Pelodiscus sinensis: one gene and its partner. The protein of the gene in region 1 binds, or shares a complex with, the protein of each later gene. Links are inferred from orthologs where the notes say so. Each region holds a gene or a part of one and is shown on either strand. Other genes may lie near its edges. The genes, in order: MYO3B and ESPN.

Region 1 (14,558 bases):
GTACTACATTTAAAAGGCAGAGCTGCAGTGCTCTGGACCTGGTGCGAGCTGGGACTAAAGCAATCCCAGCTTGTGCCGGGTCCCACGCTGCACCTCTGCCTTTTAAATGTACATTTAAAAATTACATCTAAAAGGCAGAGCCTGCTACACCTCTACCTCCCTTGTTGCCTCTCCTTTCCCCCCCCACCCCCTCCCTCGCACCGCAAAGACAGTGCTTGGGGGAACAGGCTTTTAAGCTGACTCCTCCAGCATTGGTTCCTGCTTCTCCCCCCTTGCTACCTGTGGTGGGAGGGAACGTGAGTAGTAGATTATTTGACTACTCTTTTATAACCCTAGTCCCTCCACATGCTTTCATTCTCCCTCCCGCCCCCCTCCCCAGCACTGCATTCACAGGTCTCCCTCCTACCAAAATTTGAAAAGGCACCCCTGGTCTCAGTAGATGTCCTGAAAGATGGCCTAAGACACTTCTGCAGGGGATCAGACTCAGGGCAATTCCATCCCCGCCTCTTTGTGAGGGCCTCCCAAGTGACATCAACCCCGTTCCCCTGACATACTCCCCCTTGCTCCTTGGTGAAGGAAGGGAGTATGTTCCAATGATGAAGCATCCTCACTATGAAATATTTGTGCCTTATTTTTAATACATATTTGTCCAGTTTCACCTTCCAGCCACTGGGCTTGTTCTGCTTTTCAAATACACCCTCAGCTTTCATGTAGAAAGTGTTTCAGGTCCTCGGGTTTACAGAGAAAAGGCTGAAAACATGATCTGAGTTTGTCCTCAAGGCCCAGAAAGCGAAGACACATAAAAAGACTCAAAATGTATCTATCTGTTTAATCTATCTTTAATCTCATTATTTGAAGCCAGCCTCTTGATTTTTTTATTTGGCTCATGATGGTGGTGCGCTTGAGATTGGCTGTACTCAGGATGAAGAATTTTACACTGATATAGCATCTTTTGGAGACTGTTTCAATTCTGCTATTCAATGAAATTGAGGAGGGAGCAGCTGGCGGGAAATAAGAGTTGCTAGGAAGGTATATACATTCATATGTTTTAACTATAATTTATGTGTATTTTGGAAATAGGTGGTAACTTTTAAGCCACTTCTGGCTGATCCAATTGGGATGGAGACACAATATTTTTGCTCCTGGGTAAGTGACAGGTTTCTTTACTAGTTACTGGGTGTGTCTAGACTACAGAGTTTTGTCGACAAAAGTGGACTTTTGTCGACAAAACTATACCTGCGTCCACACTACCGCTGAGTTCTGTCGACATAACGTCGACAGAACTCAGCAGTTTTGTCGACGTATGTAAACCTCATTTTACGAGGAATAACACCTTCTGTCGACAGAGTTTCTGTCGACAGAAGGTGTTATTGAATGGAAACTGTCCTTTGCGTCCAGACTACCATGTCGACAAAAGCAGCTTGCTTTGTCGACAGAACTCAATGTAGTCTGGACGCGCTTTGTCGACAGAAGTTTTGTCGACAGTATCTGTCGACAAAACTTCTGTCGACAGAAGCCTGTAGTCTAGACGTACCCACTGTGTCCAAACTTCATAGTGCTTAGAGGAGGGTGTTGCTAATGAGCATCTTCTTGTTTTACCTATCCTAAAGGGAGTTGCCACAGGAGCTAATTTACTGGATATGGTGCATTGTTTCTGTCATAAGCCAGGAACTATGGGATCTACGGGAGCAGTAGCACCCCCGGCTTGAAGTGGTTTCTAGCACATGGTTTACAGTTTTGTTCAGTGGCTCTTAGCACTCCCACTACACAAATTTTTCCTGCACCCCTGGTTCCTGGTGTGTCGGGTGGTTTGGGTTGGGGCTCTCACTGGGCTATGTTCTGCTGTATGTACACAGATGTTTCATGGTGTTGACTGAAGTTCTTCTTGAGCATGTTTGGTCACTTTAATTCCTGTTTCCTTGCAAGCTATAGGTGCTCTGCATCTCTTTAAATTGGGCACCTTTGTGTGGATTTAGCTGCCTAATTTAGGAACATCAGATTTGCCAGCCTGGATCAGATCAGGGTCCATTTAGCCATTGTCTTGTCCCTAACAGTGGCTAGCACCAGCTGCTGCAGAGGAAGGTGCAACAAATACTACAGTGGACAACTGTGGCATAATCCATCCACAGGGAACACTCTTCCTGACCCCCATCAGAGGTCAGATTACATTCTGAAATCTGAGGGTTTCTAATCCCTTCCAAACTTTTGGTTGATCATTTTAATCCTTCCTTGTGCCACTCTAGAATTGCGCTTTCTCTATATAAAGGTCCAATCCTTTTCTGAATGTTCCTAAGATCTGGGGCCCAATGATACCTTGTGGCAATGAGTTCCATAGGACCATTGTGTTAGGTTAGAAAAAATGGGATTTATTTTTTTACTGGTTTTAAATCAGCTACCATTCCAAGCCCTTGAACATCGCCATGTCATTGAATTATGGCAGTGGGTGAAAGAAGTACCCAATTATCTTCTCTAGATACTGTATGATATTTACTATGCTGTTATGTCCTTTCTTCATTTTCTATTATGTTCTACAGTAAAAGTCATGAAGTGTCTGCAGGGTTATTGTAATGAGTAGGTGACTGAGGACATGACCCAAGTTTTGAAAAGGGTCATAAATCATAAAGTCCTAACATGCAGTTGGTGCCACGTCATATTATTCTGACCCCAACTGACAGTGGACATCTGGGAGTTAAATAATGATCCTGAGAAAGATCCTGCAGTAATTTATACAGAGATAAAATTTCCCAGGAGGAAAAGAGGTTTGGGAGGCTTGTTTCTGAGTGTTCCCATTGTAAAAAAACCAAAAGCAAAGGTAGCTGCAAATTCTCAGGCCATGATAGGTATTAAAAGAATTTCTTCCATTTCAGTACTGCTTTTTTTTTCGCACTTCATCTGTCTATTGCTGGGGCACTGTTAACCTGAATTTGGGGCCTAAATCTTCAAGGCTGATTGTTGACTTTAGGTGCATCAGTTTGAGACTGAGTACAGAGGCCTGACTCTAAAGGTCAGGTCCCTGTCTCAGCACTGTCGCAAGGTGCATTGAGTTAACTCTCACCTCCAAATCACTTCACATTTCTGAATATTCTGTCTTTCATTTATGTAAACAAGATGTTAAATATCACAACTGCTATGAAATCAGTCGGATCAGACTCATGTTGACAAAGGGGGTAGGAAGTGTACTTGCAACATGCAGCCCTTGTATATCTGGGAGCATCTCCAGGCAACACCTGTGACTTGGGCCTGATGTGCTAGTTCTGAAAGAGGGCACAAAGACCAGAAGAGCCCTGAGCCCCATAGACAGGTTCTTGTGTCTTGCGCCAAACAACTTTGAAAGACGTCAGAGCTGATTAGTGTAAGTTACACAGGAAAGATTTAGACTTTAAGGATGCTGTGACCTAAACATGTTCAACTTTCTGTGCATTTGACTGGAGAGTCTCTCCTTAATTAGCTGAACACATTAATCACTGAAATATATTAAAAAAGCCAGAAGCCTATGGGCTTCATTGACAATAACAAATTATCTGAGGCTATGTCTACACTACACTTCTTTTTCAGAAAAAGGTATGCAAATTGCACTCTGCAATTTGCATTCCTTTTTCCGATTCTTTTTTCTGAAGAGGCTTTTCTGAAATTTGACCCAGCTACACTAGGCCAAATTTCAGAAAAACCTCCTCTTTCAGAAGATCCTTTCTTCCTTCTGAAACAAGGTTTACAGGGCTTCCTAAAGAGTGCGTCTGCTCTTCCGAAAAAAATTTCGGAAGAGCAGACGCATTCCCAGGATGTGGCGAAGTTTTTCCAGGATACCAGAGGTATTCCAGAAAAAACTCCATAGTGTAGACGCAGCCTGAATGTTCAGTTTCTGAGAAACAAGTTGAAGGGAAATCTTTTAAACATGCTGTAGCTCAACTGCAAGTTATTGGGCCGGAGAACGTATTTTAAAATGTTCATGATGGCAATATTTTTAAGACCCTGATCCTGCAGTTTGCTCTGCCTGGGCGAACCCCATTGGCTTTGGGCTAGTGTAGGTTGTTGGGTTGAGTTTGTGGGGGGCCAGTTGCTGGTTGGTGACCTGTTCTGTACAGGAAGTCTGAATAGATGACCTTTTGGTCCCTTCTGGCATTAAACTCTATGACTGTGGCTTGGATGCTGCTCTGCACAGGCTACGGAGTCTGCCTGTGCAGACTAGTTTGCAGAATCAGGGCCTATAACATTTCATTGCCTGTACATGAGTAAGATTTGCTCTTATGTGTTGCCTGCACCCTCAGAGTAGTGTGCTGTTGTGATATTTCACAAGACAAGCAGCGCCAGGGTTGGCTGGTGCTTGGCTAAGAGACCTGTAAAGAAAAGGAAGTGCTGTGCGTAGTGTCGATGGGTTAGTGGGAAGGGCTTCTTTTGGAATTGGTTCAGAATCCGTGTCCCAGCGGGAGCTGCAGGAGAGATACAGTTTTTTGGTACAGAGAGAAAATGATGCTGCTGTCTCCCCTGGTGCTCCAAAATCCTAGTCCCTGGCCAAAGGCCAGTATACAAAGCTTATAACCTGCTTACCACTGTTCCCTCTAATTTTCTGAGTCCATGTGTGGAATGATTTTCTTTGTGTGCACCAATATGGAGGGGATGTGTCAGAACAAAAGTCATTCTACATGCAGACTGTGTGGACAGGGGTGGCACCAATGTTTTGAGCTGCAGGAGGAGCTCAGGTCTGGGTCAGAGGTTTTGATTGCTGGGCTGAGGATGAGGGGGTTGGAGTGTAGGTTACCCTGAGGAGAGAGGACTAACCGCAGCCCTCTCCTTGCAGCAACTTGGGGCCAGGTGAGAAGCCCCTCTCCATGGGCATCTGCAGCTCCAGCAAGTACAGCTGGAGGAGGGGCACGGGGCACCTGTCCTCCAGGCTAGACTGCTTGGAAGCCATAGAAAGGATGCCTATTCCCCAGCAGCCGGAGCGCTGGGACAGATCTGTGTTGGGTGCCATGGCTGCGGGAGAGATCCTCCCCTGGAGCACCAAGCTGCCATGTCTGGGGAAAGGGAATACCCCTTCCCCAGCCCCATCATGGACCTGCCATGGCTGATGGCAGGGGGAGCTGCCCTGGTCAAGGGGAAGAGAAGGCACCCCCATCCCTGGCTCTAGCACAGACCTGAGAGGTAGATGTGCCCCCAGCCCCAGCAGGGCACCCACCCCGAACTCCTATGCGGGATTTGTTAGGGAGCAGCGATGCATCTTAGACAGAACTTGGCTGCCTACCCAAACCACTGTTTGAATATAGGATGCTTTCTTAAATACCTGCCCTCAGCAGGTTTTCTGGAGCTCATTTTAATACTGCACAACTGTTACCCTCTGCCTCAGAGGTAGCTGCATTTCAGTAGAAGATAAAATGGTTCCTCTTTCATGAATCTGATTCAAAATCCAGTGAAGCCAAAGAAGTTGAGAGAGAGACTCCCAGTGAGCACTGGTGCAGCGCCATAGTCATTAATACTATGATAATGATGATTATTAGACTGGATCAGACCTTGCCCAGAGAGATGTTGTATAAAAGGGCCCACTACAAAGGTTAATCCTCTAGCAAGATATTTAGCAGCCATCTGAAGATCCCTTGCTTATGTCTGGGATGGATTTCAGGAAAGCAAAGCATTCTGGAGTTGAGAGACCTTCTATGAGGGGATTCATTGTAAATGAATGTATAGAATTTTTTTTTGTTAAGTATCCATTAACTTAAATTTCAAAACAATGTTGTATCAAGTCCAAAAAATGAGAACTTTCTTTAGGAAAAATTCTGAAAGTGTGTGAGGGAGAGGGTCTTTCAAAAATGTTAAAAACATTTTTTTATTGTTTTTGTTTAAGCGGGAAATTTGTAACAACCATTCTTCTCCCACAAGTGGTTTTGGTTTTAAAAAAACAGCATTTCCAGGGCTCTGGACCTGGGAAGCTCCAAGTGGCCTGAACACGAAAACTATAAGTTCAGCTATGAGTTCCAATGTGACCTCTGGCCACTTGCATAGAACAATCAATTTCAAAGGCCTAGAACCCTCACTTCAGACAATGCCATACTCTCCTCTTGGAACTACTCCGCTTTGTATAAATACTCATTGAGCCAGAAACACAAATTGACTCCCTAACCTGGTGAGTAAGAGCCTCGGGACCAGATCCCTACATGGACTGATTCAGTTCAGGGACATGGTCTGGGATTTCTCACATCCAAAAACTTTCCTATCTACTGGTTATTCTGGGGGCCTTTGTCTCACAAAATTGGGGGACTAGGCAACACAATGGCAGATGGAGTTCAGTGTTGATAAATGCAAAGTAATGCACATGGGAAAACATAATCTCAACTACACATACAAAATGATGGGGTATAAATTAGGTGAACCCATCAATAAAGTGATCTTGGAGTCCTTGTGGATAGTTGTCTGAAAATACCTGCTCCCTGTGTAGTGGTAATTTTAAAAACCTAATAGAATATTGGGACTCATTAGGATAAGGATTGAGAATAAGATAGAAATTATCATATTGCCTCTATGTAAATCCAAGGTATGGCCAGATATTTAATACTTTGCGCAATTTTGGTCATCCCTTCTCAACAAAAAGATACTAGATTTGGAAAAGTTACAGAGAAGGGCAACAGAAATTATTAGGAGTGCTGAACACATTCAATATGAGGAGAGATTAAAAAGGCTGGCACTTTTCAGTTTCAAAAAGAGATGATTAAGGGGGAGGACTCTTTTCCAGAGAATGTTATGAAGGCGAGTTATAATGGGGATCAAAAAATAACTCAATAAATTCACAGAGAATAGGTCCCTCAATTTCTGCTGTTGTGTGATAGAAATGTAGCCGTGTTAGTCTGGTGTAGCTGAAACAAAATACAGGACTATGTAGCACTTTAAAGACTAATAAGATGGTTTATTAGATGATGAGCTTTCATGGGCCAGACCCACTTCCTCAGATCAAATAGTGGAAGAAAATAGTCACAACCATATATACCAAAGGACACAATTAAAAAAAATGAACACATATGAAAAGGACAAATCACATTTCAGAACAGAAGGAGGATGCGGGGGGGGGGGGGGGGGGGGAGGAGGAGGTAAATGTCTGTGAGTTAATGATATTAGAGGTGGGGAAAGGTAAATGTCTGTGAGCTAATGGTATTAGAGGTGATAATTGGGGAAGCTATCTTTGTAATGGGTAAGGTAGTTGGTGTCTTCGTTGAGCCCCCCGTGGAGAGTGTCGAATTTTAGCATGAATGACAGTTCAGAGGATTCCCTTTCAAGTGCAGATTTGAAAGTCTTCTGGAGTAGGATGCAGGTAATTAGGTCGTTGAGACAGTGTCCTTTCTGGTTGAAATGGTAAGAAACTGTTTTTTCTTTGTGATCCTGTCTAATATCTGTTTTGTGGGCATTGATCCTTTGGCGAAGTGTCTGAGACGTTTGTCCAATGTACATAGCAGACAGACAGTTTCGGCACATGATAGCATAAATTATATTTCTGGATGCGCAGGAATATGTATTCTTGATCTTATAACTCTCACTTGCTGTTGTGTGTGAGCAGCTAATGCCATATTCTGCATGCCCCTCACCCAGTTCAATACAGGCAGTCCCCGGGTTACGTACAAGATAGGGACTGTAGGTTTGTTCTTAAGTTGAATCTGTATGTAAGTCGGAACTGGCATCCAGATTCAGCCGTTGCTGAAACTGATCAGTTTCAACCGTGGCTGAATCTGGACGCCAGTTCTGACTTACATACAGATTCAACTTAAGAACCCCAGGCATCCCCAAGTCAGCTGCTGCTGAAACTGATCAGCGGCTGATTCCAAGAAGCCCGGGGCTGGGGCTTCCTGTAGTCAGCCACTGGTCAGTTTCAGCAGCGGCTGACTTGGGGACGCCTGGGGCAGAGCAGCTGGGGTGCTGCTGGGTTAGTCCAGTAGCGCCAAGGAGCTGTGCTGCGGGACCAACCGGCAGCGCCCTACCTGCTCTACCACAGGCCCGGGGCTTTGCTCCACATCTCCCTGGTCTGCTGGGGGGGAGGGCACTAGCGGGGTCCCCCTCCCCCAGCAGACCAGGGACACGGGGAGCAAAGCCACAGCAGCGGGGTGCCGCGCCTCGGCCTCCCCGGCTTTGCTCCAGGTGTCCCTGGTCTGCTGGAGACGGTCCCCAGCAGACCAGGGACACCCGGAGCAAAGCTGCAGCAGCGGCGGAGTCCCGCGCCTCTGAGGCTTTGCCAGAGCAAAGCCTCAGAGGCACGGGACCCCTCCGCCTCCCCAGCTTTGTTCCGTGTGTCACTGGTCTGCTGGAGACGGTCCCCAGCAGACCGGGGCACCCGGAGCAGCTTTTCTCGCCCCGGAGGTCGAGGTGGCGGGACCGCTGCGCTCTGGGCGGTCCCACTGCCTGCGAGCTCCGGGGCGAGAGAGCCCCGTTCGTAAGTGCGGATCCGACATAAGTCGGATCCGCGTAACTCGGGGACTGCCTGTAAATAAATGAATAAGAAACAGTTGAAAGAAATCCCACAACATTCAAAAATGTACAATCATTTTTCACAACAAACTTTGTTTTCCAGGACACCGCTATATGGATTATTTCAATGTAATCCCAATATGATTAGACTGGCATCATTAGCTGATCCCTCAGATACTTGGGAAATTATAGAGACCATTGGAAAAGGCACGTATGGTAAAGTCTATAAGGTTGCCAATAAGGAAGATGGGAGTCTGGCAGCTGTAAAAATTCTGGATCCTATCAGTGTAAGTAAAAGATTATAATCCCATTTTAATCATAATGTCATTGTTCAAATTAAAAGGTTTTACTCTCAAATAGGCTTGATGCTCTGACTCAGAGTTTAGGCAAACTGAAAACGTCCTGGAGGGAAATGTTAAACAAATTATGAGCAGGGTTGAATCATTTTTTGAATCATGGGTTACTTGATTTAGAAGGGGAAAAAAATGTTTCAACCCTGAATCCAGCTTCATAAGGACCCCTTTGTAAGACTCTTGTATGATTTAGCACACAGTCCTACGAAGTGCTAAATCTGTTCAGAGCAGACTCAATGATCTCTTTAGAATAATTATTTTTGCCTTTTCTGTATTTGTGAATCATTCATGGCTTGCAGGGCTGACAATAGATTTTGTTGAGCTCTGAGGCAATGTGTGTGTGGAGGGGTTGGCTCCAGACCCAGCCTCTAGCAGAAGGGGCCACATGACCCGCTCTGCATGGAGCTCCGGCGGCAATTTAAAGGGATTTGAGCCATGTGTCCTTTTAAATCACCAGACACCACCCTCTGGCCCTGGGGCAACTCCCCCCTTACCCTCCATCCCCGCCCATTGGTGGCCCTGATGACTTGATAGAATTTGTGGTTAGTTGTAATTCACAAATACTCATTATTGGTTTTATGCAAATTTCAGCCAATGAGATGTTAGAAAACGATTGACTCAAACTATTCTCATTGTTTATTTAAGTCACATGGCAGTCTGTTCCCATATTGGGTGACTGAAACTTCTCACACAGCAGAATATCAAAATGCAAATGACACTCAACGGATGGTAACTAAGTAGGGAATATGCTTGTTCACGTACAAATATGTGTTCATATGATGAACAGGCAACCCCTAAATGTCACAACAAGAATAATGAGAGGCCTGAATTTGATTGACCCAAACAGTCACTTGGAAATTGCACCTTGTTTTCTGTTTTTCAGCCAACTCTAGTCCTGAGCACTTTCTATTCAGATGCCAATGGGAGTGAAAGTTATTTAGCTCCTGGTGAAGAGCTGCCCCTTACAGAGTCTTATATGCTATTCAGAATCAGCATTCATGCTGACTTTGATTTCTGGCAGCACACCTGAGTAATTCACTAGTACAGATTTTAGGTCTGCAGGATTGCAGCAGCTGGAACATGAACATGATCAGACTGTACAGTGGCATTTCCAAGACACTTATGGTCAAATCTTACATTCATACAGTGCTGTTCATCATGAAGGATCTCACATCACTGTAAAATCTAAACAAACTCTATTATGGACAACCTGCACCCACCACTGAAGTGCTTCCAACTGTAGAATAGAAAGCAGCAGTTTTTTATCAATGCACAGCGACCGCGCACAATAGTTAAGACAGGAACTGAGGAATACTGTCAGGAATTCAGCTGCCTGCAGTCGCCTAGCAACCCGATGTGCTCAATTGCGTCCAGTAAGCCTTCATTAAGTGACTGTTCTCCCTGATTGGATGGAAGAGCCAACTGATCCATACTGAAACCTGGTGGCACCAGCAGCACCCAAACCTGTGTCAGACTTGCTTCCCTTCTAACCCTGGCTCCTTTCCTTACCGGTCCTCGCCAGCCCTGCCAGCCTCTGAACACCTAAATGTGAATTTGACAAGGAGTTTCTGGGCTGTGTCATTTCTCCAGCAGGACTTGCCATGGACCCTCACAAGGTTGCAGCCATAACAAGTGGAAGGCCCCCTTGAATATATGAAGAATGCAATGATTTCTTGGATTTATAAATTTGTACCAGCAGTTCGTCCAAGGACTTGTTGACCTGGTAGCCTTTATAAAATCCCTCCTCAGAAAGTTCACCTGATCCCCTAACATGCAGGCAACTTTCGATGACTTGAAAAAGTTTTTTTATTTTCTGTCCCCTATTTTAACCTATCCAGAGCCTACAAAGGCATTCATAGTTAAGACCAATGCCTTGGACTTTGCAATAGGTGTGGTCCTCGAACCAGTTGCTTCATCCCTATGCTGCCTTCTCTTGGAAACTCTCTCCTGGTGAGAGATGATGTATGGGGCAAGGAGATCCTGGTCATCCAGTCTGCTTTTGAGGAATTGTACTACCTCCTTGAGGGGGCCTATGTCCTTGTCCACGTCAGGACAGATCGCAAGAATTTGGAGCATTTACAGGGAACACAACGATTCCATTAATGTAAAATTCACTGGGCCCTTTTCCTCTCTCAGTTTGACTTTATGGTTATGTACTATCCTGAGTCTATGAAGAGAAGACCAATGCCTGCAAGAATGAGTACTATGAAGGGGAACAGAAAGCCTTCACTTTCTCTTTAAATAGTTCCAATTTGTCTGTGGGGTCCACACTGTTCAGTGGATGACCACTATCCAATTCCCAAGATCAGGTGCTACGGTTGCACCCTGAGTCACCAATGGCAGGACATTTCAGTCAATTAAGAACCTGGTACCTGATTATTAGTTATTCTGGTGGCCAATCCTATGAACAGATGTTAAAAACTCCTCCCACCCAGACATCCCACCCCCAGCCTAGTCCTGTACCCTCCCCTGCTCCTGTCCCCTCCCCCTGGCCAGATACCCTGCCTAATCAGGGCCCAACCCCTATCTGGCCACAGTGACCTGTTCCCAACCCTGATCCTGGGACAGGCCCTGTGCTCAGCCCCCATCTGGCCGCAGGAAGGACTGGTAACAGCCCCCCTCCTGCTGCAGCAGGGGGTAGGAGGAGGGGGCATGAGCCTGCTGTGGTAGACAGAAAGGGGTTGGCCAGCTCCTGTACCTCCCCCTTAGCCAGACATCCCTCCTGGACAGTCTCTCCACCCTCCCTCTCCCACTGGCCAGACACCCTACTCCCAGCTTGCTCCTGCATCCTACCTCCCACCCAGACCTCAACCCCTCCTGCATCTACCTCTGCCCATATCCTGGCTGCACCTATCCCACGCACTGGCATCCCTGTCATGCACACTGAACCCCTCATTTTTGGCCCCACCCTGAGCCTAGGGGGACCCAAAATCCACTAACCCTGGAACCCCAGAAGAGTTAATTTGGCTTGAGGCCTTGAACCTCAGTCCTTCCTCTCCCCACCATGGGGCTGGGACACCAGAGGAGTGAGGTGTTTTGGTTGGGGGCCACATCCATGAGGGCTGGAGGGTTTTGGAGGGGCTTTTTCCTCCCTTTTTACTTGTGTGGTCTCTGACTGATTTTTCTGTAAGTCAGTGGCCCCCAACCCAAAAAAGGTTTCCCCCCCGCCATAAATAAAGACAATGTTGAAACCTGTTTTTTGAACATAATATTTTTACTTTATTTTAAATGAAGCTTGGCCTGCAAGGCCTCATTTGGGGCTCAGCCCCCATCTGGCCTCAGCATCCTGTTTCTAGTCTTAAACCTGGGGCAGGCCCAGTAGTCTAGCCCCCATCTGGCTGCAGGAAGGGCTGGCGATGGCCCATCTCCTGTGGCGACATGGGTAGGAGGAAAGGCCACAATCCAGTTGTGGTGGACGGGGGGGGGGGGGGGGGGGCAGGCAGGAGGCGCAGCCCTCTAGTATGAGATTAAAGGAGTAATACATCAGGGTTTTGATACAGCAAACTATCTCTATCCAGCAAATTACTTAAGCACATGCTTAACTTTGAATCATGTGCTCAAGTCCTGTTAAAGTCAAAGTCTGTGCTGAATAGGAATACACTTTAAGCATGTGCTTAAGTGATTTGCTGAACTAGGGCTCATGAAGGGCTTATTGTTCAGTATAGTTGGCCCTTTGTTATTTCATCTTCACAAAAATCATCTTTAGACAAATAATTGGTACTATGTGCTTATTTTGTGGATTTTGATTTTTACTCTGTTTAATAGTTCCTATATTTTTTACTGTGTGCTTTAGTTTGTATAAATGTCTCCTGTTTTAAAGATGTATTTATTTATATTCATGACCCATTTAATGTATTTTAGAACTGCTATGTAAACGGATTCATCTAATTACTTTAAAAAGAAAAAATGAAGCTAAGATCCATGTGTTTACATTAGCTCATCTATCAGAAATGCCAATTTAAGAAACAGATTAGAAAAGATATATATGCAAATTTTCCATTTAGACAAGTGAGCCAACTTTTTGTGGTAGCAGTGTATTATGCATTAAGAGTACCCTTGAGGCAAAACTCCTGACTACACATGGAGTTCACACTTTTATTTGTAATAAGACAATTGTGGTGTGATGGATTTTGACCAGATTTTGTAATTTGATTAGACTGTTTTCAGTGCATGACAAGACATTTAACAGTATAACATAATGTATAGGTGTTTCTTTTTATCCTTTAATATTTACTTGCTACAAGATTTACCTGGTGTTGCTCACATCCTTAACTCAAATACATTTTGTTTTTCTTAATTTAAATCATAGAATCCTAGAATACTAGAACTGCCAGGGACCTTGAGAGATTGTCAAGTCCAGTCCCCTGCCCTCAGTGCAGGACCAAGTACCATCTAAATCATCCCTGACAGATGTCTATTCCATCTGCTCTGAAATATCTCCAGTGATGGAGATTCCACAACCTACCATTGTTCAAATAATTGTTCAGGGGGGCAAGTGGGGTGGGGATGAGGGGTTCAATATGCAGTCTGCCTCAGGGAGATAGGAAAACCTGGTACCTGAAAACCTCAGTAGTTTGGGGCCAAGTGAGAAGCTCCTGTCCCTAGACACTGCAGCTTTAGCGGGCACAGCACAGGGGAGAGGTGCATGTTCCCTAGCTGTGAAATAGACAGACACATAGACAGACAGACAAACTCTCTGAAATATATAGTAGATATTTGTCCCTTTCTCTGCCCTTGCCCCCTGCTGGACTGATGGGGTTACAGCTGTCCTGATTCTTATTTCTGGCCCCCTTGCTGCTCCTGTGTGGTCATTCTAAAGTATAACTGCCTCCTACCAAACCCCGCCCTTTGCATTTCATGAGAAATAGTTGAATTCCAGGCACATTGCATTGTCTTGGCACAACCAAAACCTGACTTTGCCTTAAGTTAGACAAGGGCCAAATTTGATGTCCCTTTTTCTTACTATTTAGGAGGAGTTTTTGAACAAATGGATGGACAGACCGACACACAGACAGACAGACAGATACACAAACGCTCTAAACTATATAGTATATGTATTATACTGAATTATTATATATGCATACATCACATTTGTTTGCATTTTCCATTTAGGACGTGGATGAGGAAATTGAAGCAGAATATAATATTTTACAGTTTCTTCCCAATCATCCCAATGTTGTTAAGTTTTATGGAATGTATTACAAAGCGGATCAATACGTGGGAGGACAGCTCTGGCTAGTTCTTGAGGTAAGATATTTAGATAATCTTAAAACTTAATTAAAACAAATTTTTAGGGTGCAGTGCTCCCTTTTAGAAGTGAACAAACAGAACGAGCAAATAGTGGGTCTCAGTGTTCTCAGTATTCTCATCAGTCTGGCTATGGGAGGTGTTTGCAGATCCACCTGTCAAAAATACATTTAGTGTTAATTCATTAACAAGCCCCAGAGGTGGAGGCATGGTGGTAGCACTTTATTGATACACAGGGTACTTTGTTCTGCCTTTAGAAACATAGAATGGGTTCCATAATCATTTTCTTACTTGAAGGCAAACAGTCATTCCATACCAAAGAAAACACGTGTTAGTGCTGAGACATCAAGCCCTCATTGAGCAATCCAAAGAAGACTTCATGATAAAGTACCACACACAATATTTATCAAACCTAGCACTAGTGCAAATGTGGGCTGACAGGATACAATGGCAGTGTAAAATTAATATCAGGATGCTGTTGAATATCTAGCACTTGAAATGGCATATGCAGATTTTGCC
Region 2 (14,910 bases), on another chromosome or scaffold:
TCCAAGGGAACGGGGATACCAGTGTGTGTGTGTCTGTGCGTGTGTGCCCCTGCGTGTGCCTGTGCGTGTGCCCCTGCGTGCGTCTGTGCGTGTGTGTGCCCCTGCGTGTGTCTGTGCGTGTGTGCCCCTGCGTGCGCCTGTGCGTGTGTGTGCCCCTGCGTGTGTCTGTGCGTGTGTGTGCCCCTGCGTGTGCCTGTGCGTGTGCCCCTGCGTGCGTCTGTGCGTGTGTGTGCCCCTGCGTGTGTCTGTGCGTGTGTGTGCCCCTGCGTGCGTCTGTGCGTGTGTGTGCCCCTGCGTGCGTCTGTGCGTGTGTGTGCCCCTGCGTGTGTCTGTGCGTGTGTGTGCCCCTGCGTGCGCCTGTGCGTGTGTGTGCCCCTGCGTGTGTCTGTGCGTGTGTGTGCCCCTGTGTCTGTCTGTGCGTACGTCTCGGGGGCAGAGACTGTGCCCTGGCTAGAAGCAGACACGGGCTATTGTGAGACGCTCTCGCCCCCCACTGCTCCCCTCTTGGTGCTGCTCCCGCCGTAACACCGTGCGCCCGCGCTCTGCACGTCCGAGCAGTGCCCACAGAGCCGGAGACACAGGGCTGGGCGTGCGGGGGGGTGTGCTGGGGAGGCCCGCTCCCTGGCCATCACCTTCAGCTGCCCGGAGCCAGACACAGCACAAAGCCCCTTCTGAAGGGCATCAGAGCAGGAGAGCGACAGATGTGCAGCCAGCTGTGCTCTACCTTCCCAGCTCTGCCAGGCTGATCTCTTCCATCCAGGCGCAGATTTTTTCCATGAATGTGCAGAATCAATTTTGTTATGTGCACTGAGATGTGCAGACGTGCACCACTGATACAAACAAACCCAGGCTGTGGGCGCGCTGCTAATCAGCTGGGCAGCATTTGACTCTCCTGAGCAACCACACGCGCGTGAGCAGCTTACAGGGAGCTCTGCTCACTGGTCTATTTGCATGCGAACAAGCTACTCCCTGGAATGAGAGATGGAACCAGGGCTTCAGAACAGCCCAGCCGCAGGTCTGGGACCTTCGCCCTCGGCAGGGAAACTTCAAACCCAAAACGAGCCAGACAGCTGGGGGGGGGGGGGGGGGGGGGGGGGGGGGAGAATCTGTGCCTAGCGCCAGGCCTGCTTGGAGCCCAAAGGAGACTCACATCCGAGAATAAGGTCGGACGCTCAGAGCTGAAGCCCCATCACTACGCACAGCCAGGGCCCCCGGCGCTGGCCTTGCTCCAGCATTGCAGCCTGTTAATTCTTCCCTCTTTGCATGGGGTGACTCAGCTCCCAACGGGCAACAACTTGGGCCGTCTGGGGAGCCGTGCACCACTCGGGCGCTCTGGGGAGCCGTGCACCACTCGGGCGCTCTGGGGAGCCATCTGGGGAGCCGTGCACCACTCGGGCGCTCTGGGGAGCCGTCTGGGGAGCCGTGCACCACTCGGGCGCTCTGGGGAGCCGTCTGGGGAGCCGTGCACCACTCGGGCGCTCTGGGGAGCCGTCTGGGGAGCCGTGCACCACTCGGGCGCTCTGGGGAGCCGTGCACCACTCGGGCGCTCTGGGGAGCCATCTGGGGAGCCGTGCACCACTCGGGCGCTCTGGGGAGCCGTCTGGGGAGCCGTGCACCACTCGGGCGCTCTGGGGAGCCGTGCACCACTCGGGCGCTCTGGGGAGCCATCTGGGGAGCCGTGCACCACTCGGGCGCTCTGGGGAGCCGTCTGGGGAGCCGTGCACCACTCGGGCGCTCTGGGGAGCCGTGCACCACTCGGGCGCTCTGGGGAGCCGTGCACCACTCGGGCGCTCTGGGGAGCCGTCTGGGGAGCCGTGAACCACTCGGGCGCTCTGGGGAGCCGTCTGGGGAGCTGTCGGGGCAGCCAGAGCGCCCCTGCGAGCAGTGAAAGGGGCCGAGGAGAGCGGCGAGGAGAGCAGCGACCCGTCAGGCTCACCGACTTATCCATCTTAGGCAACAAGAAACCTTTTCCATCGCCATGTGCTCACACTGCCTGGCCTGGCCCTGGCCCTCCAGCTCTGCCCTGTACAAGCTCCCCCAGCCCCTCCCGGACGGCTCACGGCAACCCAACCTCACCAGAACCGAGCGGGCAGGCCGGAATGGGCTCTCCCCGCCACGCTGCACCACCCGGCACTGCTGCCACGTCAGGTGACGATTGCAAGTCTCGTGATACTGGGTGTTTGAAGGACCCAGCTGCAAGAGTCAGGTGATTTATTCGGGGGAGGGGTCTGCGCTTTCATTAACAGGCAGGAAGCTTCTAGCCCAGGTGGCTGGGAGCGAAACTTGGCCGCGAGCCCTGAGCGCACCATAAGGCCAGACGACCCCGCCCGTGCGACTCCCTCCGAGGGGCGGGATGTTGAAGCTGGCCTCGTGAGCGCCAGAGCCCGACGCACGACTCCCGAATGCAGGGAGTTGGCAATTGCACGCTCAGCCTCTCGTGCCGAGACACGCGCGGGGCCGTCGCCACCCGCTGCAAAACCTCCCTGCGAACACGGCGGGGCTCTTGGACACCCAGCGACAGGCCGGCCCGAGGAGCCTGCAGCCTGGGACGGCCTGGGCAAGCCACTGGCACGTATCACCTCTCACCAGAGGGCACCCGTGGGAGCTTGCGCCTGTCACCCCCTAGCTACAGCCCCGGCTCGGACAATTCACCGATTGTTTCTCCTGGGCACTGGCCTGCCCCCGCCGGGCCCCGCGCCAGGGGAGCTGGCATGTTCCCCGCAGCCAGAGCGGAGAGCAATGCTGAGCTGGCTGCCGGGCAGGCGGTCGCCTGGTTACGCACAGCCCCGTGTGGGTCACAGCGCTCCCGACACCGTGGAGCAAACAGCAAATGGAATTCAGCCAAGATAGCGCCTCGTGGGGCTGACCTGCCCCCTGCTTCCTCATCTCCCCTGCTGCCCACAGCTGTGTCGCAACAGCCCACGTCTGCACCGCTCAAGCTGCAGCAGCGGCTCAGCCTTTCGGTGCCTGCTCCGACCGCGGCCCCGGGGAACGACCCATCGACGGAACGCAGCGGCCGGGCTCCCCGACAGCACGAGCCCCTTGGCACGGCCCCATGGGCATCTCAGCCCTGCGGCCACCCCCTGCGGCAGTCAGCAGGGCGCTTGCCCTTGGCGTCAGCAATGTCTGGGCCACCCGGAAACACCGCACCCAGCCTTGGGGCGGTTTCATCGGATCCCCGAACGCTGACGGCAGCCACCCACTGATTAGCAGGGTGCCCACAGTCAGTGTTCCTGCTGGTGGTGCCCCTCCGCACCTGCCTCAGTGCACACAACAAAATTCACTCTGCACATGAATGGAAAAAATGGTCTGACTCCATGAACCCGCTGCCGAGCTCGGTCCCATCTACCGGCAGGAGCCCTGGGCACTGACAACGGGACGGGCTGAGTACAAACTAGGTTGAGTGCCACTGAATTGCCACGTCCGCGCCCCATCACCCGTGTGCAGTGCGAGGGCTCGGGGGCCAGTGGGCTGCAGGGAGGGAATTTCAGGGGTCACAGCATCAGTGAGGTGTCCGGTGGCACTCCCAGGAGCGGCACTAGGGCGTCTGCCATGGCCCAGCACACCAGCCTCGTAACTCAGGGCAGACGTCTGGAGGGGCAGGGCACGTCCCGCTGGATCCGGCCCCGAGGGAGCTCTGCACCCAGTGCGGGGATGTGACTCCTCACTCACGTCCTCTCGCTCTGCACCCCCTGCCCGCTGTGACACCGGCCTGCCACACTCCTCGCCCCCAGGGAACCTGCCCGGCCGGGAGGGACCCGGGATCAGCAGCAGGAGATGGGAGAAAGGCCAGGTGAGCAGGGGGCCTTTGGCCCAAGTCACTGCTTCTCCTCAGCCCACAGGCAACTGGCAACAGCTGGCTGAGCCCGTTACGCTTGGCCCAGCCTGGCTGCCCAGAACCCTGGGAAAGCTCCGAGCCGCCTCAGCGATCCCAGCTGCGCTGCAGAAACCAACCCCCGGGGCCTGGCTTCCAAAGCGGCCACTGCCAATGCCACCACGAGTCGTCCTGTCCAGAGACACAAGCACGGCCAGGCGGGGTCAGACCCAGGGTCCTGGCTGCCCAGTGCCCAGTGCCCCAGAGACAGTGAACAGAGCAAGGACTCATCCAGTGACCCTGCCCCTGTTGCCATTCCCAGCTGTGACAAACAGAGGCCAGGAACACCACCCTACCCACCCTGGCGAATAGCCATTGATGGATCTAACCTCCAGGAATCTAGCTAGTGCTTCTTTTGGACCCTGTTAAAGTCTTGGGCTTCACAACATCCTCTGGCAAGGAGTTCCACAGGTTGACTGTGTGTTTTGTACTTCCTTTTGTTTGTCTCAAACCTGCCACCTATTCATTACATTGAGTAACTCTTGTGTTATGGGAAGGAGTAAATAACATTGCCTGGAACGGGGTCGGCACTCACCTCCCACAAGACCCCCCTTTTTGGCTGCATACGCTTTCCTGCACTGCCTCAGTTTTAAAAGCCTTGTGGCTACTCAGCCCTCTGGCCAAGCCGCTCTCCCTTGTGCACAGTCACAAACCACTTCCAGGGTGCCCCTCTAACAGGGGCCCATCCCAGTGCCCTCTGCAGGGTCTTGAGTCCAGCACAGGCTCTCAGTCTGCTTCCCCACTCACGAGGAGAGCGGTGCCCCCAGAGTCTTATTATCAGTGGGAATAGGCCAATGGAGGGATGATAGGAGTTACTCTAGAGAACTTTCTGGGGGTCTGGCTGGTGAGTCTCGCCCACATGCTCAGGGTTTAGCTGATCGCCATACTTGGGGTCGGGAAGGAATTTTCCTCCAGGGTAGATTGGCAGAGGCCCTGGAGGTTTTTCGCCTTCCTCTGTAGCATGGGGCACAGATCACAGCTGGAGGATTCTCTGCATCTTGGGGCCTTCAAAGTATTTGAAGGCTTCAATATCTGAGATCTAGTGAGAGGGTTATTCTAGGAGGGGTGGGAGAGATTCTGTGGCCTGCACTGTGCAGGGGGTCAGACTAGATGATCATAATGGTCCCTTCTGACCTTGAAGTCTGTGAGCTTTCCCTCCTCGAGGCAATGTCCTAAACAGCTCCCCACTCTGAGCCATCCTTGGTTCCACCAGCCTTCAGGTCTGGGCTGCCCTGAGTCTTGCAGCTTCTTATATAGTCCCTCTGGCTCCTGATTGGCTGGGTGCTCCACAGCCACTCTAGCCTGCTGGGAGGACTTCTCTATGGCCTTAGGGCTTGATTCACCCTGTCTTCATTCCTTATTTACTCTTTCCACACCAGCCATACCTTTCTAGGCCTCTATCTTATCCCCCCTTAGTCTTTCCCAAGCTGAAAAGTCCCAGTCTTATTAGTGATAGAAATGTAGCCGTGTTAGTCTGGTGTAGCTGAAACAAAATACAGGACTATGTAGCACTTTAAAGACTAACAAGATGGTTTATTAGATGATGAGCTTTCGTGGGCCAGACCCACTTCCTCAGATCAAATAGTGGAAGAAAATTGTCACAACCATATATACCAAAGCTTCCCCAATTATCACCTCTAATATCATTAGCTCACAGACATTTACCTCCCCCCCCCCATCCCCTTTCTGTTCTGAAATTTGATTTGTCCTTTTCATATGTGTTCATTTTTTAATTGTATCCCTTGGTATATATGATCTTAGACACTCACACACACAGACATGCACACACAATCATAGACACACACAGACACACTTAGACACACACACAGAGACACACATGCACACACGCACACACAGTCATAGACACACACGCTCACCACTAGCCCAGCCAGCCATGCAAGGGCAGCCGCAAGCCGGGAGGGGCCTGCTCCTGTGACTCCCCTTTGGTGACATTCCCCGTCTTCGGCCACCCCGGGGGCCATGAGTGCCCGGCGGCGACGGGTGCCCAGTGCCACTGCCCTGCTGCCAGCCCAGCGGGCGGTGCCCGGCCCTGGAGCGCGGCTTCCCTGCCTTCCCGCAGGGCACAGCACAGCCCCTGCCGCTGCCCGCAGCCAGCGAGCCCGACCTGGCCAGGGGAGAGCCCCCGGTGCCCACCAGCCAGTGCCACCCCTGCAGGCCGGGCGCAGGCACCAGGGCACTGGGGGCAGCCCAGCCCCTGGCTCCAGGCGGGTCCGGCTCGGTTACAGCTGGGTCCGTGGCTCTGGGTCCCCCCCTCCCCGCGCCCCTGAGCCCCGCCCTGCGCCCCCCGGTGCCCCAGAGCCAGGGAGGGGCTGAGCCCGGGGAGGGCGGAGGGGCCGCGCGAGGTGCCCACCTGGACGCTGCAGCCGCCCTGGGTGAGCAGCCACTGGAGACAGGCCAGGCTGCCGGTGGCCGCCGCGTCGTGGCCCGGGGTGGCCCCGTTGCGGGCCCGGCTGTTGCCCCGCTGCGCCGCTTCCTCCACCAGGTAGCGCAGGCAGTTGAGTTTGCCGGCCCGGGAGGCGTGGTGAGCGGGCGAGGCGCCCAGCGCGTCCCGCAGCCCCGGCTGCAGCAGCCCCTCCGCCTGCAGCGACTTGAGGGTGTCCACGTCCCCCTGGCGGGCGGCCAGCAGGGCCCGCTCCAGGGCCATCGCCGCGACCGGCCCCTCACCAGCCCGGGGGCGCCATGGGACGGCCCGCCGCGCCGAGCCTCTGGAGCGCGCCGCGCTGCCGGGAGGGCGAGCCCGGGCCAGGAGCTGCCGGCCGGGCACTGCCAGACCTGTGCGCTGCGCCCCGGGACCCTTCCTGCGCTGCGCCCCGGGACCCTTCCTGCGCTGCGCCCCGGGACCCTTCCTGCGCTGCGCCCCGGGATCCTTCCTGCGCTGCGCCCCGGGTCTCCTCCTGCGCTGCGCCCCGGGACCCTTCCTGCGCTGCGCCCCGGGATCCTTCCTGCGCTGCGCCCCGGGACCCTTCCTGCGCTGCGCCCCGGGATCCTTCCTGCGCTGCGCCCCGGGACCTTTCCTGCGCTGCGCCCCGGGTCTCCTCCTGCGCTGCGCCCCGGGTCTCCTCCTGCGCCGGGATCCTTCCTGCGCTGCGCCCCGGGATCCTTCCTGCGCTGCGCCCCGGGACCTTTCCTGCGCTGCGCCCCGGGACCCTTCCTGCGCTGCGCCCCGGGTCTCCTCCTGCGCTGCGCCCCCGGGACCCTTCCTGCGCTGCGCCCCGGGACTCTTCCTGCGCTGCGGCCGAGGAACTGTCCGTGGTGTCTCGTGCCCAGGGACTGTGCCTGGGGTCTCCCGCCCCGCCACCCCTCGCTCCGGCTGTCAGGCTGGCTGGGGCTCCCGGGCACTACCGCGGCGCACAGCGCAGCATGGCCCCTGCTCTTGGCACGTCCCGTCCCCCCGGGTCAGACTCTCCTGCGGCTCCTCAGCCCTCCCTGCCTCCGGCCTCGGGGAACTGCAGCCAGGCGGCGGCAGGAGCGCGCAGCGATCTCACCCCGAGGGCGGCTCCTCCTTCCCTCCGCCCTGTCTGGGGAATGGCAGGAGCCGCGGGGGAGCGTCCCCCTCCCCCGGCGCTCAGCCCAGGCCAGGAAGGGGTTAAACCCTCTAGGCTGGCCCGGGCGCTTGGCTGAGTCCCTGGAGCCCCGGCAGCAGCAGGGCTGGCAGGCGCTGAGCCAGGGGACGTGCCCAGGGCCGAGCAGGCGTTGGAGGGGCCTGACAATGGGTTGGGAGCCCTGCTGACCGCATCACTCAGAGCAGGGGGAACCCCGCAGCCTGGCAGGGCAGCCCTGTCCTGCCTGCCCGACCTCCCTGCTCCGGGCCAGGCCCGAGGCGAGTCCTGCCCGCCCTGCCACTGGGCGCTGGTGGCAGCATGTGCCTGGGTCTGGCCTGTGCCTAGGGGTGCCAGGACCGCCCCCCCCCCAACTCAGCCCCGGGACTGTGCCTGGCTGGAGAGGAAGGCAGGGGCGTTTGCCACAAGCGCAGTCCCATCGCCACCTCCCCGGTACACTGCCTGGGCCTGCTCCCGCCATTTGGGGGGGAGCTGTGATGGGGGAAGTGAGAGCGTGGGGGGGGGGCAGACTGAGGGACAGCAGCTGCAGCGGTGTTACTAAGCATGCTCAGTACAAGCCAAGCACCTAGTGGGGGCAGGGGGGTCACCAATTCCTTCCGCCCTCCCCGCGCACACAGCGTGTCTGCCCAGGGCTGCCAAGGCACCGAGAAACTCTGGGTTTGGCAGACAGTTAGCGGTCAGCTGGCAGGAGCACTGGGCCTAATTCCTAGCTAACAGACAGACAATGGAATAACTGTCGGACCCCTCAGCTCGGACACTCACATGTTCTGACACCTTGCGGCACCTCCCTGACGGACGCGGGTTACCGGGATGTCTGGGCTTAGTTACTAACTGCAGGGGGGGGGGGCTAGTGGGCTACAGCAGGGGCAGGTCCATTTCAGCTCCATATAAGAAACCCAGAATGGCCAGACTGGGTCAGACCAAAGGCCCATTAGCTCAGTGTCCTGTCTGCTGCCATGGGCGAATGCCGGGTGTGTCAGGAGGAATAAACAGGGAATCAACAAGTGACTCACCCCGTGGCCCATTCCCAGCTCCTGGCAACATGAAGCTAGGGGCTCCATCCCCGCTCAGTCTGGGTTGTGGCCATGGATGGACCGATCCTCCTTGAACTTATTTTGTTCTTATTGGAACTCTGTTAGAGTTTGGGCCTTTCCACCGTCTCCTGGCAAGGAGTTCCACAAGTCGACTGTGGAAAACTAATTTATTTTGTTTGTTTTACATCTGCTGCCCATAAATTGAATTCTTGTGTTCTGTTAGTGAAGGAATGAATTACATTTCCTTATTCCAATTTTCCACACCGTTCCTGATTTTCTAGACTGCCAACATATCCCCAGTGGTCCTTCTAGCCCTATATCCTGCTGCTGACAGTAGCCAACGCCAGGTGCATCAGAAGGAATAAACAAAGGAGGCAATCATCACGATCCATCCCCTGTCACTTATTTTGTTTGTTTTAAATCTGCTACCTATACACATCATTGGGTCAGCTTCCTGTGTTGTTAGCGAAGGGCTGAACGACATTCCCTCATTCTATTTTCCCACACCGTTCCTGGTTGTCCAGACCTCTATCATAGCCCCCACCCTTTAACCATTTCTTTTCCAAGCTGAACAGTCCCAGTCTCGTTAATCTCTCCTCAGATGGAAGCTGTTCCTACCCCTCGTCATCTCTGTTGCCCTGTCTGTACCTTTTCCAAATTCAGTAGATCTTTTTGTAGATGAGGTGACCAGATCTGCAAACAGTGTTCAAGATGCGGGCATAACCATGATTTTATAGAGAGGCAATAGGCTATTTTGCCTTATTATTTATTCCTTTCCTAATGAGTTCCATTATTCCGTTAGCTTTTTAGTTTTCAAATGGCCACTGCACATTGAGCAGATGTTTTCAAGGAAATATCCACAAGGATTCCAGATCGCTTTCTTGGGTGGGAACAGCTATTGTAGACCCAGCGTTGTATCTATGGTGAGGGTTATATTGTCCCATGTGCATCACTTTGCACTTCTCGCCCCTGAATTCCATCTGCCCTTGTGTTGCCCAGTCACCCAGCTTTGGGAGATCCCTTTGGGACTCTGCGGTCAGCTTTGGAGTAGTCACTGGTCACCCTTTTTCAGGAACATTTGTGAGACATTTAACAGCCGGGATCCAAATGCAGATCCCTGCAGCACAACACTCATTCCTACACTCCCCCTGTCTTTTAAGTGGAGGCCCCGGCTTTGTTTTCATGGAGATCTAAGGATCCTTCAGTTACCTGAATAACCAGCCTTTTGTTGTTCTTAATCCCCCTCCCCTTTGATAACAAACTCCCTGCTCCAAAGGCAAAGCTGCAGCAGCCCAAACTAGCATTTGAGAGCTGCCTCTGGAGTCAGGGTGTGGGCTTTGGGCAGACCCCAAGCCTGAAATCCAGGGGTTCAAACTCGGGAGGGGGGTCACTGCCCCCCACCCTCTCCAAATGATGCCCCTGAAGGACTGGTACGAGGCTGGCGGTTCTGCGACCATCTGGTGGCTGCTGCCCTGCGAGCGCTGTTCAGGGCCTGTCCCAAAGGCCGAGCAGAGACGCGCGGGCCAGGTGATCGGTGGGTTACAGCAGCACCCAGAGGCCTCGCCCAGGAGCTGGGCCCTGGGGCAGGAGGGGGCACTCCCACAGGAGCAGGTGGGGGGCGCCGGCTAGTGCTCCTTCCCTCTCCCGGCTGCTCTCGCACTGGAGACCCGGCCAAACGGAGCAGCTGGACCAGAAAAACAGGCTTGCGACATGAACCAATCTCATCATTGTGGCATGAGGGCAATATCACGAGGTTCAGCGACACGAGGGAAACGTGATCTCCAGGCCAGGGGGCACTCTCCCTCGGCTGTGCATGTCACGGGCACAGTGGTGGCCTAGGTGGTCGTCTAGGGCACCAAGATAAATGGCCATTGAAGGCTTTGGAGGCGGGGCGCCGATCGCATGTTTCGCCTAGGGCGCCCGTTGCCGGCAGCTCGTCTAGGGCCGCTCCTGCACGGGCACTCCCGCCTCAAGTCACTGCCGGCTGCTCGGCAGGGCCCCCTGCTTAGGAGCAGGGCACAAAGCTCCAATAGCTGAGTCCTGGACCTCGTTCCACCAGCCAACGCACACGTGTCAACCCCTCCCAGGCAGGGAGTCAGGGACAGACCCTTCGGTGCCTCCGGTCCACCGCCCCACCCAAGCGAGCTCACAGTCCTAGTCAGTTTCCAGTTTAGTCCCAGTCCCAAAGGACCAGCCACTTACGTGTGGTTCGATTTGTTTTGGATCCGAGGGAAACCAGGACACTCCAGAGAGACGTAACCACTTCCTTACTTATTGCAAGCTTTGAGCAGTTCATACAGGTGTTAAGTTTTACAAGCCTTAAGAACAACGACTGTACAATTTAAACCTTAGTACTATCCATCGTAAGCAATGAGTACAGCACAAAACAATACAAAAGCAATGTAAGAAATCTTCTATTAACTACAGTTCACTTACATGTCACCCGTATGCCACCTACGGTACCAGGCAGGAGGTTCGTGGGCCCTTTGACTCTCATTCTTCGGGGCACCGGGCACTGCCGTAGCCGCGTGAAGGGTCTTTTACTTCTAGTTACAATGCACAGGACCTGTGGGTCAGCCCTGCTCCCTCCCTGCCTCCCATCGACTCTTCTTCCTGAGACTATTTTCTAGCAGAGCGAGACTTGACCGTTCTAGTGCTAGCTACCAATTGATGACGTGTCGTGTAAATCCCTACAATGCCCAATGCGGGGGACATCCTGCTACTGAGGATCTTGCGAAACGATGTGCATGGTTAATAGTTTTACAGCTGTACCCTGAATTTTTGCTTTTCGGAAATAGACTGTACCAGTACGAGGCTCCTCCCGATGGCCCTGGCGTGGTCTCACTGCACCCTGCTGTATCTGCCTGATTGTGCAAAAACCCATTCCCACCTCTCCAAGCGTCCCCCGGAGCCTGGCCTGCGTCCTTTTGTGCACCAGACTTGAGACAGGCCTGGCTTGCTTTGGTAGAGACCCGCACTGTGGGGCTCCCCTTCACTTACCCCCGGCCATTTCCTCCTGGACCTTATCCAGAGACAACACGTGTCACCAGTCCTGCAAGGAACTAGAGTAGGGAAAGGAAACGGGTTATTTTTTTTTTACACACACACACACACACACACACACACACACACACACACACACACACACACACACTCTCTCTCTCTCTCTCTCTCTCTCTCTCTCTCTCTCTAAACAGCACTAGTGGCCTCTCTAAGCAGCAAGCTCTCCATGGCATTTAGGGCTGTCCCAGGCTGAACGGGGTGGGGTGGGGTGGGGAGGGTCTCTTGCCTCTTCCTGGACCCTTGTCCCCCAGTGTTCGGGCGACAGGGAGCCATGGCTCCTTGGTAGGGATTTTTAACCCCCGGAGCTGCAGGGCCAGCTGATGGGAGACGTGCTTGCATGGTTCATCTCACAGGGCAGGGCAAACGTCTCCTGGGCTCTGTCCACCTGCCGTGCATGGAGCGTTCCCACTGGGCAGGTTAGCACGTCCCACGATGTCTCTCCCGTCTGCCGGGTTTCACAGAACAGCAGCTTGGCGAGGCCCTTCCCGCGTGGGACAGCTGTTAGTGAGATTAGCGCCGGCAGCCGCTCAGCACCAAACAGTCTGCCCAGCCTGACACCTGCTTGCATGAGCCTGCCCCACAGGTGAGCAGGGTGGTTCTAGGGCAGGGCTGCCTGGAGGCCCAGAGCCCTGGCAAAGGTAGGAGCCGAACACATCACAGGTCCAGACCTGGGCAAAGGAGTCCCAGACGCACTCTCCAGAGGCCACGGCACCGGGTACTCGGGGCGACGGAGCCTTTGCTGTTAATCTGAGAGGGGAGGAGGGGCGATCACACCCTGGCGTCGCCGCAGCGTTTGCTCAGAGGGAGAGAGAGGGAGAAATCCCCTTTGCCCCCAGCCCCTGGACTGTTCCGTCATGTACTCGAGACATCCCGGTTCCCGTCCCCCTCTCTGCCCTCGCCAGGCCCGTCCTGCGCGCTCCAGGCCCTGCTCTCTGGCCCGGCTCTCCAGCCCCGCTCTCTCGCTCGGGTCAGGAGCAGCCTTGGACTGGTCATTACAGTTTGCGCCTGAGTTTGGGTCTCAGCACCACCGTGCGGAGCGCAGGGCCCAGCGGGCAGTAACCGAGCTGGGACGACTCCCTGCTCTCGCCGCGCAGGTGTGTGCGCCGGCTGGAGCGCGCTGGGTAATCGCACCGAGCCAGGGCTGCCGAGAGCCCGGCAAATACCCAGCCCCAAGCAGCAGGCGAGGGGGGAGGGTCAGATACCGCGGTGATGGGCCCTGCACAGGACCCTGGCAAGACTAGAATGCACAGTGCCCCTTGGAGGGACGGGCGTGCTGCTGGAGCAGGCGCGGGGAGGAGGGTTACTGCTGCTCTGGGCACTGCCCAGCGCTGCGGACCCCAGGCCGATAGGAGAGGTTGCTGCATTGCCCTGCACTCACCAGCCCTCCTCGGCCTGGAGGCCTCCCCAGCCGGGGGCCCAAGGGCACAGGCCGGAAGCCAAGCGCGCGTTACCTGCCAGCAGTCGGTGCAGAGCGTGGCGACGGTGCTGGCCACGGCAAAGGCCCCGCAGAGGACGGCCAGGAGGGTCCCGGCGCTGCCCGGGGTCTGGCCGAGGGACGGCAGCGCCGATGCCCTGCTCCGGCCCGGCTGCGGCACTGCGGAGGGTGAATCTGAGCCAGGCCTGGCAGAGCCCAGCGGCGAGGCCGGACCTCCTGGGCCCTTCCCCGGGAGCCTGCAGGCCCTCGCTGGACTTCGCTCGGCAGCCTGGGAGAGCCTCTTGCCATTGGCTCGGGTCCCGCAGCGGAGCTCAGGGCAGCCCCTGGCAGGGCGGGAATGTCGCCGGAGCGAAGGGGGCCGGCCGAGCGCGGGGCCCCGCTGGGCAAGCCTCGGCCAGGAGCCCCTGACATTGGCGCTCAGGCCCTGGCCATTGCCTCCCCCTTTCCTTCCCAAGCTCAGAGCCAGACCCTGTGGCTGCCCCCGCGGGGCCAGGGAAACAGGCTTTCCCCCAGCCGGCCCTGGCTCGCTTGTACGTGCCAGAGGAAGGTTCCCGAGCAGACCCCCTGCCAGGCCGGAGCAGCCAAGGTCTGCTGAGAGCCACCCCTGCCCGACAGACCAGCCCCTGGAACCGCGTCAGGGCAGGGGCCCGGCCACATGCACCGTCCCGCGGCCACAGGATTTAAAACTGGCAAATGTCACATTTCCAGCTGTTTGCCCTTGAAATGTCACCGCGCTGGCACCTGGGCCCTGCCCGGGGGCGTCACAAGCCTGTTGGGGGGCCACGGGATCGCCATGCTCACGCTGAGCTGCCGGACGGGAGCCATCACAGAGCTTCCTGCAGCCGCGGGGGGGGGGGGGGTGCAAGAGGGAGCGGTGGGTCTGGGCTGGTCCCCCCTCCCCCCACCGGAGCAGTTTGCGGGGAGGGGGCGGGTCCTGCCCTGCCCCTGCCCAGTGGGAGGCAGGAAGCCCCCTTGGAAGGGGCGCTCCTAGGAGCAAGGGGACATGCGATTTGTGGGGGAGGCTGGGCAGGGCCCCGATCCTGCCATTCCACCCTTCCCCCACTAGATGGTGCTGCCCACCCAGCACCTGAAAGCTCAGCCCCCCCCCCCCACAGAGCCCGAGGCCCCGGGGTGCCCGGGGGGTCCGAGGTGACACAGCTCAGGGGGCTCCAGTGCAGGTGCTGAGTGGAGCCAGGGCAGCGAGCACCGTCCTGAGCCAGGCAGAACCAGCCTCCTGCCCCATGCTCTGCCCCGCACACCTGGGCGCCACTGGCCAGCTGTCCGTCCGGCCGTCCCTCCTGCCCCCACCCCCAGAGCGAGAGCCCCTCCCGGCACCAGCACGTCCCTCCTGCCCCCGTGTGGCCTCGGCACTTCCCCTGGGCTGGCAGAGACCTGGCGCTTGGACCCGGGGCGTCGCCTGGGCTGGTGGTGCCGGGTGGAAAGGCCCTTTGCTCTCACGCTCACCTGCCCTCCCGCCCCGCGCCGGAGAGCGCCCCTGAAAGCGCCGGCACAGGAGTGAATCCGGGCACGGAGGCCCCCGGCGAGCTCCTTGTCTCCCCGCCCAGCGCCCAGCTCAGCACGGCGGGCGAGAGCCCAGACCCCTGCTGGTGTCACGTGGCCTCTGCCATCGCTGCACCTCGCCCTCCAGCAGGGCTCCCGCAGGCAGGGCGTGAACCCGGGGCCAGAAGGCCCCAGCTGAGTGGGTGGGCAATGGGGGGGCAGTAAGCCCCAGACCCCGCCCCCGGCCAGAGCCCCAGCGGGCAGAGGCAGTTCCCCATCCCCCGCTGGAGTGCCAGGCAGCAGCGTGCTGCAGCTCTGGCAAAATGGGGTCAGCCCCCCGCCCCCCCAACTGGCATACGGGTGTGCCCGGCAGCGGGTCCCCAGCACCAGCAGCACCAGGGCAGGGGGGGTCTGGTTGGAAAG

What was found.
Region 2: the proteins of MYO3B (region 1) and ESPN are in contact, whole or in part, in a crystal structure (PDB 5ET1), measured with the Mus musculus proteins. The link is inferred for Pelodiscus sinensis from reciprocal best matches to the Homo sapiens genes MYO3B and ESPN. Residues at the interface, in XP_017174528.1 of Mus musculus: Arg1223, Arg1224, Gln1226, Gln1227, Pro1228, Lys1229, Met1230, Leu1231, Ser1232, Ser1233, Asp1236, Thr1237, Met1238, Tyr1239, Tyr1240, Asn1241, Gln1242, Leu1243; in NP_997570.1 of Mus musculus: Leu35, Ala37, His41, Arg45, Ala67, Asn69, Ala71, His75, Asp76, Ala79, Thr80, Asp101, Ser103, Leu110, Arg113, Phe114, Thr135, Thr137, Ala139, His143, Tyr144, Ala147, Thr169, Asn171, Tyr177, Leu178, Gln181, Ala203, Asp205, Met207.

What each region holds. Positions count from the first base shown.
Region 1 is NC_134717.1:40,283,914-40,298,471, forward strand, and holds the start of MYO3B (myosin-IIIb), read left to right. Parts: upstream 1-8,279; 5' UTR 8,280-8,462; coding exon 8,463-8,726; intron 8,727-13,904; coding exon 13,905-14,039; intron 14,040-14,558.
Region 2 is NC_134733.1:24,167,785-24,182,694, reverse strand, and holds the start of ESPN (espin), read right to left. Parts: upstream 6,779-14,910; 5' UTR 6,540-6,778; coding exon 6,246-6,539; intron 1-6,245. UniProt on the Homo sapiens protein: Multifunctional actin-bundling protein. Plays a major role in regulating the organization, dimension, dynamics and signaling capacities of the actin filament-rich microvilli in the mechanosensory and chemosensory cells.